Linked DNA regions of Canis lupus familiaris. The protein of the gene in region 3 interacts with the protein of the main gene of each other region in a biochemical or structural test. Links are inferred from orthologs where the notes say so. Each region holds a gene or a part of one and is shown on either strand. Other genes may lie near its edges.

Evidence for each region. The genes of interacting proteins can lie anywhere in the genome.
Region 1: the proteins of XIAP (region 3) and HTRA4 form a complex in vitro, tested with the Homo sapiens proteins (2 studies listed by BioGRID and IntAct, with this or other methods). The link is inferred for Canis lupus familiaris from reciprocal best matches to the Homo sapiens genes XIAP and HTRA4.
Region 2: the proteins of XIAP (region 3) and PGAM5 form a complex in vitro, tested with the Homo sapiens proteins (2 studies listed by BioGRID, with this or other methods). The link is inferred for Canis lupus familiaris from reciprocal best matches to the Homo sapiens genes XIAP and PGAM5.

The regions. Positions count from the first base shown.
Region 1 is NC_049237.1:27,305,634-27,309,735, forward strand, and holds the start of HTRA4 (serine protease HTRA4), read right to left. Parts: upstream 2,861-4,102; 5' UTR 2,830-2,860; coding exon 2,352-2,829; intron 1,961-2,351; coding exon 1,861-1,960; intron 918-1,860; coding exon 713-917; intron 1-712. UniProt on the Homo sapiens protein: Serine protease.
Region 2 is NC_049247.1:429,242-433,564, forward strand, and holds the start of PGAM5 (serine/threonine-protein phosphatase PGAM5, mitochondrial), read right to left. Parts: upstream 2,861-4,323; 5' UTR 2,835-2,860; coding exon 2,644-2,834; intron 2,072-2,643; coding exon 1,884-2,071; intron 345-1,883; coding exon 129-344; intron 1-128. UniProt on the Homo sapiens protein: Mitochondrial serine/threonine phosphatase that dephosphorylates various substrates and thus plays a role in different biological processes including cellular senescence or mitophagy. Modulates cellular senescence by regulating mitochondrial dynamics.
Region 3 is NC_049260.1:96,110,689-96,114,094, reverse strand, and holds the end of XIAP (E3 ubiquitin-protein ligase XIAP), read right to left. Parts: intron 729-3,406; coding exon 535-728; 3' UTR 522-534; downstream 1-521.

The DNA.
Region 1 (4,102 bases), on a different chromosome or scaffold from region 3:
CTAATGCTTCTTCCTCAAATCCCAGCAACCACCAACTGTCACTCCATAAGATGATCAGGATCATCTCTAAAGTCTAAAATTATTGCTTTGTAGAAATTCCTATAACTAAGCCAGCAGTGAAGTAGCTGGTGAACATACCACTGATATTAGCAACTCACTTAGCACTATACCAGCTCAGAATTCTATAGTCAAAATCAAACCACAAACAGAAAGGAGATGGCCCAGAGCAGTGCTTCTCAAACTTTAATGTGTGCTTGAATCACTCAGGGATCTTATTAAAATGCAGATTCTGACTCAGTAGACCAGGGTGGGATCTTAGATTGTACATTTTTTAAGATTCTCAGATAATGTCAATGCTGCTGTTGTGCAGACCACACTGTGCAGCAAGGACCTCAAAGTATTCCTTAGCATCCTTGAATCCATTGTAATCAGTCCTAGTATTCTAAGGCAAGCAGAGAGAGGTTTCCCAGCAGCAGCAGCTATTGAAGGAGGAGGTAAAGGAGGCTGGATAGTTAATAGAAATTGTTAGGGACATACAAACAGGCATAAAAGAAAATAAGAGTGGAAAATAGGGAAAAAGGAAATTTAGCAAAGAACATATACCAAGTTAAAAAAAAAAAAAAGATGTGTGGGAATTGGGCAGTGAGGGAAATGGCAGCAAACTGATGAAAATCTCCAGATTTACAGACTGATTTGGCCCTTGCACACTCACATTTGGCTCAATCTTAATCAGCGCAAGATCCAATTTATGGTCAATGTCCTTGATAGTGGCTTCATACTGGACCCCACTCTGGAGCTCCACCTGGATCCGCTGCTGGTTGGTGATTACGTGGGCGTTGGTAACAATGAGCCCATCCTCAGACACTATGAACCCAGAGCCGCTGGATGCAGGCATATCCTTGCTGCTAAGAGGTGACCTGTCCCCACAAGACAACAGCATAAGCAGAAGGCAGGAAAATCAGGGGATCCATCACAGTCTGGGGACATGGGAACCTCTCATTGATCAAACACACCTCCACCACAGTTTTCTCAGACATTTTACTATCCCGTCTGAGTTTTTTTATTTTTATTTTTTAAGATTTTATTTATTTATTCATGAGAGGCACAGAGACATAGGCAGAGGGAGAAGCAGGCTCCCTATGGGGAACTCCATACCAGGACCCTGGGATCACACCCTGAGCCAAAGGCAGGGGCTCAACCATTGAGCCACCCAGGTGCCCCCTGTCTGTGTTTTCATTCCCTGCACGAGTACTTAGACTCCTCATGTTCAGTACCCTGGCTACCTCTTAGGAGCAGAACAGAGAGCTGATGCCAACTTTCCTTTTCCAGGGACAACCCCCCTCGCCTCCTTCTCCAGTGCTGGTCAGAGCAGCACCCCTCTGCTTCAGAGAGGCCTACCCTAATCACACTCCTGAGAGCAAACGTGCACCCAGTGCTACATTATTGAGGACCCAGGCAGGTAGGAAGTGGAAGAAGGCTGGTTCCCGCTTAGGTTCCACCACCAAGTGGCTTCGTGACATCGGATTTCCTTCCATGAAAACGAGCCCCCCCCCCCCCCCCGAGCAAGATCACCATGGGGGTGCCTTCTAGCTCCTACATCTGACCTTCAGTTATGTCGTGGGAGTTGAGGGAGAGAGAAACCCCACGCTCCTAAGTGCAGAGGAGTAGCCCGGACCTGGTGGTCGCAATCCCTACGCTTCCGCTCTTTGGCTAAACCTCCGCGAACGGATTATCCAGCCTGTTAGGGCCGCGATTTCCTCGCAGCGGGTTTTAGGACTCAGCGCCGCCTGCGCCGCGGGGGTGGGGGCCTGGAGCGGGGTGCCGCGGGTAGGCGGGCGGGCGGCCTCCTGCCTCCCTTACCTGCGGAACAGCTGCAGGTGCACCACGGAGGGCGCCACCTTCTCCACCACCGCCGCGAGGAAGTTGTACTGGCTCCGGAGCCGGCCGACACTCCAGGCCTCTGGGAAGAAATGCTTGGTTCCTGGGGGCCTGAGTGCGCCGGGCGCCCTATGCAAGCTCTCCGGGTCTCTCCCCAACTCCGCTCCCCTTTCCCTCCCGCTCCTCCCGTCGGGCTCCCCCTCTATTCGCTGCAGAGTTGAGAGCTAAGGGCCTCTTAACTCGGAAGGATGCGCCTTGAGGGAACTACACCTGTTATCCCGGGTGGGTAAGAGGAAAAAAGGGAGGGGGGGAGATGGTATTTAACAGGCCCGGGGAGGCAAGCGGGGAGAAACCACGCAGGCACTGGTAAGGCGACACCTAAGAAGGAGAGAAAACTGGGAACGCGTAGTTGACTCCGGAGGCAAAGGCGCCGGCGGGAGCTGCGAGCACCCCGAGCCGCGGGCGGCGCTCACCTCGCCCCGCGCAGTCGCCCTTCAGCACCGGCACGGCCGGGAGCGCGCCCCGGAGACGCGCCGCGCGGTTCTGGGCGCGCAGCTCGCACAGGCTGGGGTAGGTGCGCCCGTCGCTGCCGCACACCGCCGCCCCCGCCGCCGGGCAGCCGCACGTGCCCCCCCGGGCGCCGCGGAGACGCCGGGCCCCGGGCCGCGCGCCGCACCGCAGCCCCGGAGCGCACGGCCGGACCGCGGCCCCGCCGCACGCCTCGCCCTCGGCCGCCGCGCACACGCGGCAGCAGCGGCAGCCGTCGAGCACCGGCGACGACCCCGCGGAGCAGGCGGGCAGCGGGGGGCAGCGCGTGGGCTCGCAGGCCGCGGGACAGCGCAGCGGGGGCCTCGACCTGCTAGCCTCGACCCCCGGCACGGGCAGCGAGGCCGGCAGCAGCCACAGCAGGAGAAGCGGTCCCAGCGCAGCGGGCGGCGGCGGTCTGGTCATCCTGCGCCCTTTCTTCCACGCTCTCCGGTTCCTCTGGACCCGCCACGGCTCTAAAAAGAGCCTCCCTCTCCCGGAGGATGCCGCCTCCGTCAGCCCCCGGGCTTTAAGGGGCAGAGCCTGGCCGACCTCCATACACACACACACCACCCGTCCCCCCCACCCCGCCCCAGCGCCAGCTCCCCCTCTTGCCATGAAGGGAGGTCCCCAGCTCTCCCCCCCTTGCAGGCACCCACTTCGAGAGGTCCAGAAAACCAGTAATGGGGCAGACTGACAAGAGAGATCACCCACTCACCAACAGAAGGTCAGCGTTAGGAAAACACACACCATATTTCAGTATTTCACATGGTTTTATTACAAAAACAAGCAACAAAACAGTTTTAGAAAACTATTTTTGCTACATACCAATTAGGAGATCACATAAAATGAGAAGCGTAACAGTTTCCATGCACTCAGCTCAGGGCTTACAGCGAGTGCATTTCACAGCTGAAACATACTGGTTCAAAACACCGAATCATGCCACAGCTTCAATAAGCAGTAGGGGAAGAGGTCAAACAGTATATTTATGCTAATGTTAGCTTTATTCAAATTCTACTTAGCATGAGTGACTGTATGACTGTTGCAGGCGACAGCATTGAGAAAAAAGGAGTAAGAAAAAAAAGTGATGTTGGTAGAAAAGATTTACTAAACATTTTTGACATGTTCAGAGTTTATAAACTAAAGCTCATTTGGGAAGCTCAATTTCCAAAATGGTGTTACTGGTCAACAGTGAAAGCAAACATCAAATTCCATCGCTCAACTACTGAACCTGCAAGTTAGGTTCTTTTAGCCCGTAGCAGAGCAGTTATATTCAGGAAGAAAAAAAAAAAAAAAAAAAAACCCTTTTTGCTTCAAGTGACTACAAAGCTAGACCTTACCTCTGCCCTTTCTCATGTGAGTGAGCGTAGCATTCTACTCAGAAATAAATGTATAACCTCCACTATTTTGGCCAGCACCTACTCTACATCTTAGTAGGTTTATGATGTCTCACAGGAAGCAAAAGGTCAATGTTTACCAACCACCAAGTGACCTTGAGTAAGCAAATCCTTAAGCTCTCAAGAACAGGGATGGTAAATAGTTCAATTATAGGAAGACCACCTGTAATACTGTTACACAAACTGGGTCAAGACCACTTCAAAAGTCTTATGAAAACAGCACAACTCAGCGGTTTTTATTACACAAAGAAAATGTAGTACCTTTTTTGGTTCTTTTTTTTTTTTTTTAACTCAGATTTATT
Region 2 (4,323 bases), on a different chromosome or scaffold from region 3:
GTATCAGTTAGGTTGCTGATCACTGTTAATGACAATTCTTGAATCTGGGCCAAGCCCCTGACACAGGTCCAAAGGGGCCCAGCGTCACTAGGACAAGTGTCAGTTGGGGCTTGAGTCCCAGCACATACCCAGGGGTGTTAGAGTGCGGTCCTTTTCCAGGGAGGCATCCATGTGGTACTGGGAGTGCCTGATGAGGAAGATGTGTCGTGTGGCCTTTGCTTTGCAGTGGTCCAGCCTGGACGCCAGTTCTTCTTCTCCAGAGTCTAGGTTCCTCTTCCGCAGGTTGACCAAGGATAGTGGTTCTCGCCTAATGTTGAAATATGAGAGGCGTGTCCTTGTGATCTCTGCTCACAAATCAGAATTGAGTTTTTTTGACTAGACGGTATTTCCGTCTTGGGAAAGCGCAGGGACAAACAATACCCTCTGCCCTCTGCTGTGGCCCCTAAGAGCCCATCCTCTTAGAGCACATCGCATTTACCCAGAGCGGAGTGCCAGGCCTGTTTGGGGTGATCAGTGAATGAAGTGGACAAATGAAGCTCTCATGCAGCTTGTGTTCTAGTGAAAAGAGACTGATAAAAACAGCCAAGTGATAAGAGATGTGTAGAAAACGAAACCAGGTACCAGGAAGGGGTAGCTGGGGAGTGCCCACAAAGCTAGTGTGGCCATGTTGAAGCAGAGCCTGCAACTGTGCTGTCCAATGCTAGATACTGGCTGTGTGGCTACTTAAATTCAAAATAATAAAGATATTACTCCATTTCCCCAGTCACACTAAGAACATTTGAAATGGTCAGTAACCCATAGGATAGTGGTGATCACATTGGATAGCGAGGAAGAGAACATTCCTATTATTATGAAAAGTCTATTGGATGGCACTCCTGGAAGGTTGAGGAGCTGAAGAGGTGGTGGGGGGTGAGGATGGGGGGCAGCACCAGTGAAGATGCCGAGAAACAACCTAAGATTTGGTTGTTGGAAGACAGGGATGTCTGGTGGCTTCCAGAACGGAAATTTGAAAAAGCTAAAGGTCTGTGGTATGGGCTAGGAAAAGAGCATCCCCAGCTGGGACAAAATGGTGGCAGGGTAAGTTCGGAGGAGAGCAGTGGCAGCTCAGGGGTCCTGCTGGGCGAGCCTAGGGTGCCCTAATACAAAGAGGCTGAGATGCCACACAGGAGTCCAGGGCTGAGCCAGGGATGACACATGGGGACTACAGGCACACACATAGGAAGCCTAGACTGGATGAAATTCTCCAGGAAGAGGCTGGACATTTCATCAGATGAGGCTCTAGAACTTTCCAGCACACCCTCCTCCTTCATAAACCCGGACTTGGTGAGCAAATACAGTGTGTCAGCTTCCACCAACAGAGCTAGAATCCAGTGCTGCTTCAAATACATACTTTATTCTCACAATGAATCTGTTTCCTTAAAAAGAAATTCAGAAGACTGTATGAAATTTGAAAAAGAGAATATGACCCTTGACTGAATCATGAGAAAAACAGACAAATCCCAACAGAGGGGCAGTCTTTAAAATTCCTGATTATCAATATTCAAAACTGTCAAAGTAATCAAAACAAGGACAGTCTGAGAAACTGTCACACCCAAGAGAAGCCTGAGGAAACACGACTAATTGTCAGGTGGGATCCTGGAAGAGACAACAGACAATAGCTGAAAACTGAGGAAATCTCGAAGTATGAATGTCAGTCAATAATAACAAACAGATATTAGTTCACTGATTGTGGCCAATACACCATACCAGTATTACAAGGACAGTAGCCTTAGCAGTAGACAAAATCAGGGGTGGAGTATAACTCTTAGTAGCTTTCCGATTTTTCTGTAAATCTAAAACTATTCGAACGTTTTTTTAAATTAAAGGTTTAAAACAAAGAATACCTATGCAGTTCCTGATAAAACGAGGCTGACAGTAAATACTAGTTCTGTGCCCCTCGTTCAGAGTAAAGTAGTAAGGAGTTGGGATTGGGTGAACCATCCCACAATGACCACTCCCAGACTCCAGAGCAGAGCCGTCCGATAAGAAGCACACCACCAGCAACAGACGTACTTTTAAATTTCCAAAGAGCCTACATTTAAAAAGAAAGGGACAGGTGAAATTACAAAAATCCACTTTATTGAATCCAACGTATCAACAATACTATCATTGCGACACAGAAACAGCATAAAAAACCTGCACTGTTTGGTTTTTAAACTCGAATTCGTTAACATCAAACAACACTAAAAAGTGTTTCCTGATCAGAGGCGCCACTTCCCAGGTGCCCCATAAGCACGCGTGTGGCCACGCATGACAAGACCCGGAGGCGCACGTTCCTGTCCCACGTGTCCTCGCCCGTCTTCCAGCAGAGAGGCTCCTTCGAGGCCCAGGCCAGCACTGAGGGCCCCACACCCACCCTGCTCTCCGCCCTTAGGCATCGTCCAATCCGAGGGCTCCCGGCTGACAGCCCGAGTCTGGGCCGCGCGCTGTCCCCGGCACCGCTGTCGTCCAGGGCGTCCGCCATCACGGCCAGCCGCGCGGCCACATCCGGGAGAGACGTCCACCCGCGGGCCCGCCCCGCCTGCCCTCTGCGGAGCCGACCCCCACGGACCCAAGGCCCTGCCGCCCACCGGCCCCGCGCCCGACGCCACCGCGGCCCCGCACCTGTCCCAGTTGGGGTCCCAGACGCCCGGCCCGGGACGCGCGGTCCCCGCCCACGCCGGCGCCTCGACCACGCGCGGCTCCGCGTCCCCGCCCGCGCGGGGCTTCCCCACCGCCACGGCGGAGAAGAGCACAGCTGCCGAGCCCCCGGCCAGGCCGCAGGCCGCTAGCTGCAGCGCCTGTCGGAACGCCATGCCCGCCCGTCCCGCGCCGACCCCGCGCCGACCCCGCGCAGGAACTCACGGCTGGACGGCGCGCCCCGAGGGACACGATTCCTCAGGGGTCCGCTTCCGGCCGGCCGGCCGCGCGGGGACGGAAGTCCCGCCCCCAGGGCCAGCGGGGCGGGGGCTGGAGGGGAACTTCCTGGCCAGGGGTGGACAGCTTCCGGGAACAAAGTGGAAGAGGCGTACGGTGCGACGGTTCTGAGGCCTTTTCCCAGATTCCGTGCTGAAGTCCCTGGGGCAGGTCAGTCCTGCCTTCGAGCGGCGACGTTACGCGCGGCGTCTCCGGTTGGCGTGGCGCTGCGCGTGTGGAGCCGCCTTCCAGGGCACAACGGGGGCACCTGAGCTGGCGGAGGGCGTGTGTGTGTGAGGGAGACGAGGCCGCGGCGCCAGTGTGTATGAACGTGTGTGCGCGCGACGGGCCATGGGCGAGTGTGTGTGTGTGTGTGTGCGCGCGCGCGACGGGACTATGTGTGAGAGACAGGGCCGGGGCGTGTGTGTGGAGAGCGTGTGTACTGGCTTGTGTGACCCGGTCTCAGTGTGTGCGCGTGGGTGTGTGAGACGACGGGCGAGACCACAGCACTCCTTGGAGAGGGGTACTGGAGGGAGTCCCAGCCTCGAAGCTGCAAGGAGCTGGGAGGCGGGAGAGCCTTATGGATAGAATTCAGGATTCTAGTTTAAGTGAACTGGGAAACCTCTGCAGGGTTTGTTTTTACTGTGGTAAAACACATGTAACAAAATTTACTGTCTTAACCATTTTTTAAAAAGATTTTATTTATTTATTCATGACAGAGAGAGAGAGACAGAGGCAGAGACATAGGCAGAGGGAGAAGCAGGCTCCGTGCAGGGAGCCCAAGGTGACACTCCATCCTGGGACCCAAGGATCACGCCCTGAGCCAAAGGCAGATGCTTAACCGCTGAGCCACCCAGGTGTCCTGTCTTAACCATTAAAAAAAAAATTTTTTTTTAAGTAATCTACACCCAAGATGGGGCTCAAACTTACAACCCTGATGTGAAGGGTCCATGTTCTACTGACTGAGCCAGCCAGGTGCTGCCCCACTATCTTAACCAGTTTTAAGCATATAGTTCTGTGGCATGAAGTACATTCACACTGTTGTGCAACCACCACCACCACCAACCAGCTCCAGAACCTAAATCTTCCCAAAGTGACACTCTGTCCCTATTGAATACTGACTCCCTGACTCCCCCAGCCCATGGTACTCACTATTCCCTTTTCTGTCTTTTGGATTTGACAAGTCTAGGGACCTCATGTAAGTAGAATCACACAGTATTTGTTCTTTTGAGACAGGCTTATTTCACCTAGCATAGTGTCCTCAAGGTTCATCCACATTGTCACATATGTCAAAATTTCCTTTTTAGGGCTGAATAATATTCCACTTTATGGATGGAACACATTTTGTTTATTCATCTGTCAATGGACACTTGAGTGGCTTCCATCCTT
Region 3 (3,406 bases):
TTTTAAAAATCACCCACCGAAGCACATGTGTATAATTTTAAAAGAGAATGGACAAAATCCTAAAACACAAAAACAAACATCTAAAAATAATCGGTATCTTTCCACCAGTGTGGAACAGTTCATTCCTTTTCACACAAAACAAATTATGAGATTGGGGAGATTAATTCTAATCTCCACGTTTACACAGAATGCTCCATTTGTTAAGCCTATATGAAAAGGATGAAAAATTCAGTTAACTCACACTTAGAAACTAAGTTAGTGTAGTACAAATACAAATACACATTGTGATCAATTACAATATGATGCTTCTTAGTCTAGATTTCAATTGAGTAAAAAAAAAGATATATAACATCGCTAATGTCCCCCCAAATCCAGAAATTCAAATTTTAGATTACAAACAAGAGCACTGTAGTTTACATTTTGTCTACTTGGTAGCAAATGCTAATGGCATTCGATGCTAATTAAAGTCGGTTCACATCACACACTCAATCAGGGTAACGAGAAGAACATAATGCGCCTAACTGTAGAGTGAGATTAAGACATAAAAATTTTTTGCTTGAAAGTAATGACTGTATAGCACATGGGACATTTGTCAACTGCTTCAGCACATTGTTTACAAGTGACCAGATGTCCGCAAGGAATGAAAACCACAGCAATATTTCTATCCATACAGATTTTGCAAAGCTTTTCCTCTTGCAGGAGTCTGAGCTGCTCTTCAGCACTAATCTCTGCACAAAGAGAAAAGAAATGTGTTAATTTTAGACTTTCTTAGTTGTTGAAATGCATTGAAACAACGAGAACCCCTACTATGTGCCAGGTGCTAATCAAGGCCTGGGAGACAGGATGAGTCACACGTGACACCTGCTCTTCAGTAGCTTGCAGGCTAGAGAGGAGGGCGTGAGCTGAGGCTGTGGGGGAAGCACAAAGTACAAAGTGATAAGTGTTATCATAAAGTTACGTACAAAGTGCTCGGGGATGAGTTGAGAGAACAAGTTCTTCTGTTCAGATGAGTTGGGGAAGGCTTCACAGGCTGGCAGCTGCAGGGCAGGGGGCCAGGGGAAGTGGAGGAGTGACATTTATTTATTTATAAGCTTTTATTTAGTTATTCATGAGAGAGACACAGAGAGAGAGGCAGAGACACAGGCAGAGGGAGAAGCAGGCTCCATGCAAGGAGCCCGATGTGGGTCTTGATCCGGGATCCCAGGATGTCACCCTGGGCCGAAGGCCGTCGCGCAACCACTGAGCCACCCAGGCGTCCCTAGGAGTGACATTTAAACATGGCCAACAGGGGACGCCTGGATGGCTCAGTGGTTAGTCTGCTTGAAGATTCTCTTCTGGGCAGCCTGGGTGGCTCAAGTGGTTGTGCAACTGCCTTCAGCTCAGGGTGTGATCCTGGACTTCTGGGATCGAGTCCCACATAGGGCTCCCTGCATGGAGTCTGCTTCTCCCTCTGCCTGTGTCTCTGCCTCTCTGTGTCTCTCTCATGAATAAGTAAATAATCTTTAAAATAAATAGATAAGTAAATAAACAAACATGGCCAGCAACTTACCAGGCTGAGAAGCAAGGATTAGGTAAAAGAAGTGACATATGGGAAGGGCATGGCTTACTCCAGATACAGAGGGATGGATCTGAGGGACACTTCTGAGGCGGGACTACTAGGATTTGGGGACTGATTAGATGTGAGAGGTGAGGGAAACAAGAGTTGATTTTAAGATTTCTAGTGGCTGACAAGAGGATGGTGATGCCAAAAAGAAATATAGGAGGTACTGGTTTGGCATTTTCAAGTTTTCTTTTTAAGATTTTATTTATTTATTCATGAGAGACACAGAGAAAAAGAGAGGGAGAGACACAGGCAGAGGGAGAAGCAGACTCCATGCAGGGAGCCTGACGTGGGTCTCGATCCTGGGTCTCCAGGATCACACCCTAGGCTGATGGTGGCACTAAACTGCTGAGCCACCCGGGCTGCCCTCAAGTTGTTTTTGAGGTGTTTGCAGGGCATCTATATGTAAATGTCATTGGACAGTCACGTCTTGAGGTCAGAAGTAGTTAAGGCTAGAGACAGAGATTTGGGTGACATTAGCATATAGGTGGCACTAAAGCACTTGCTTAATTCAGCCTTTCTCAAACTAGGTTTTGTGACGTGTTAACAAACATATCACAGAAGTGTGTTTCGTGGTGAAAAAGAACTCTAATAACAAGGGCGCCTGGGCAGTTCAGTCAGTTAAGCACCTGACTCTTGATCTCAGGGTTGTGAGTTCAAGCCCTGTGTTGAGCTCCACTCTGGGTGTGGAGCCTGCTTAAAAAAACAAAAGTATAATGACAACATCATCAACAATGGCAGCAGTTAACAGTAACACAGCACTTACTACTATGTGCCAGGCACTATTCCAGAGGCATTATATATTTTAACAATCTTTGTAGGCCAGTGGTTTCCAAATCTGGTCTCACATGGGAATCACTTGGGGCATTTTTAAAAAAGATTTATTTATCTATGTAAGAAAGAGGGGCAGCAGAAGAGAATCTTTTTTTTTTTTTTAGATTTTATCTATTTATTCATGAGAGACACAGGCAGAGGGAGAAGCAAGCTCCATGCAGGGAGCCCGAGACAGGACTCAATCCCGGGACTCCAGGATCATGCTCTTAGCTGAAGGCAGATACTCCACTGCTTGAGTCATCCAGGGATCCCAGAAGAAAATCTCAGCAGACTAACTGCTGAGCCATGAGATCATGACCAGAGCCCAAACCAGGAGACAGGTGCTTAAATGATTGAGCAACTCAGGCGCACTTGAGGCATTCTTTTAAATGATAAATGACTAGGTCCCACTCACTAAATCTAAAATTTCTAGGGTTGTTTTTTGTTGTTGTTGTTGTTGTTCTGAAATTACAGTATGCAAAATAAAGAAGATATGGTTTTATACAGCAACAACAACAGCAATAATTTCTGAGATGGCACACACTGGTATTTGGCAACCAGTGCTGTAAAGTACAGGTCAATACAGTACAGTGTATGTCCCCTCTTAGAAAGTCACAATGCATGTCCCTATTTAACTACAGAGTTCCTCTTTCTTTTTCTTTCTTTCTTTTTTTTTTTGTTTTTTTGGTCCTTTTTCATGGCATCCCTTTTTAACATCTGGGGAACACTGTTTTCAAAACAAGTTTGGGAACAGTGGTTGACTTTTATTCAACAAATATTTACTGAATACTTAACTAAGTTCTAGGAACTGGAGATACAATTAACAAATATATAGGCCCCAGGTCCCTAATCGTGCATAAACAAGTAGGAAACACAAATAGACAGGAAATTATATTAGAGTGTAACGATAAAGGTAATTTAGTGTGTTATGGAGAACACAGGAAGGGTTTGAGTTGTGCGTGCACACAGAAACAGAAGGAAATTATACTTAAA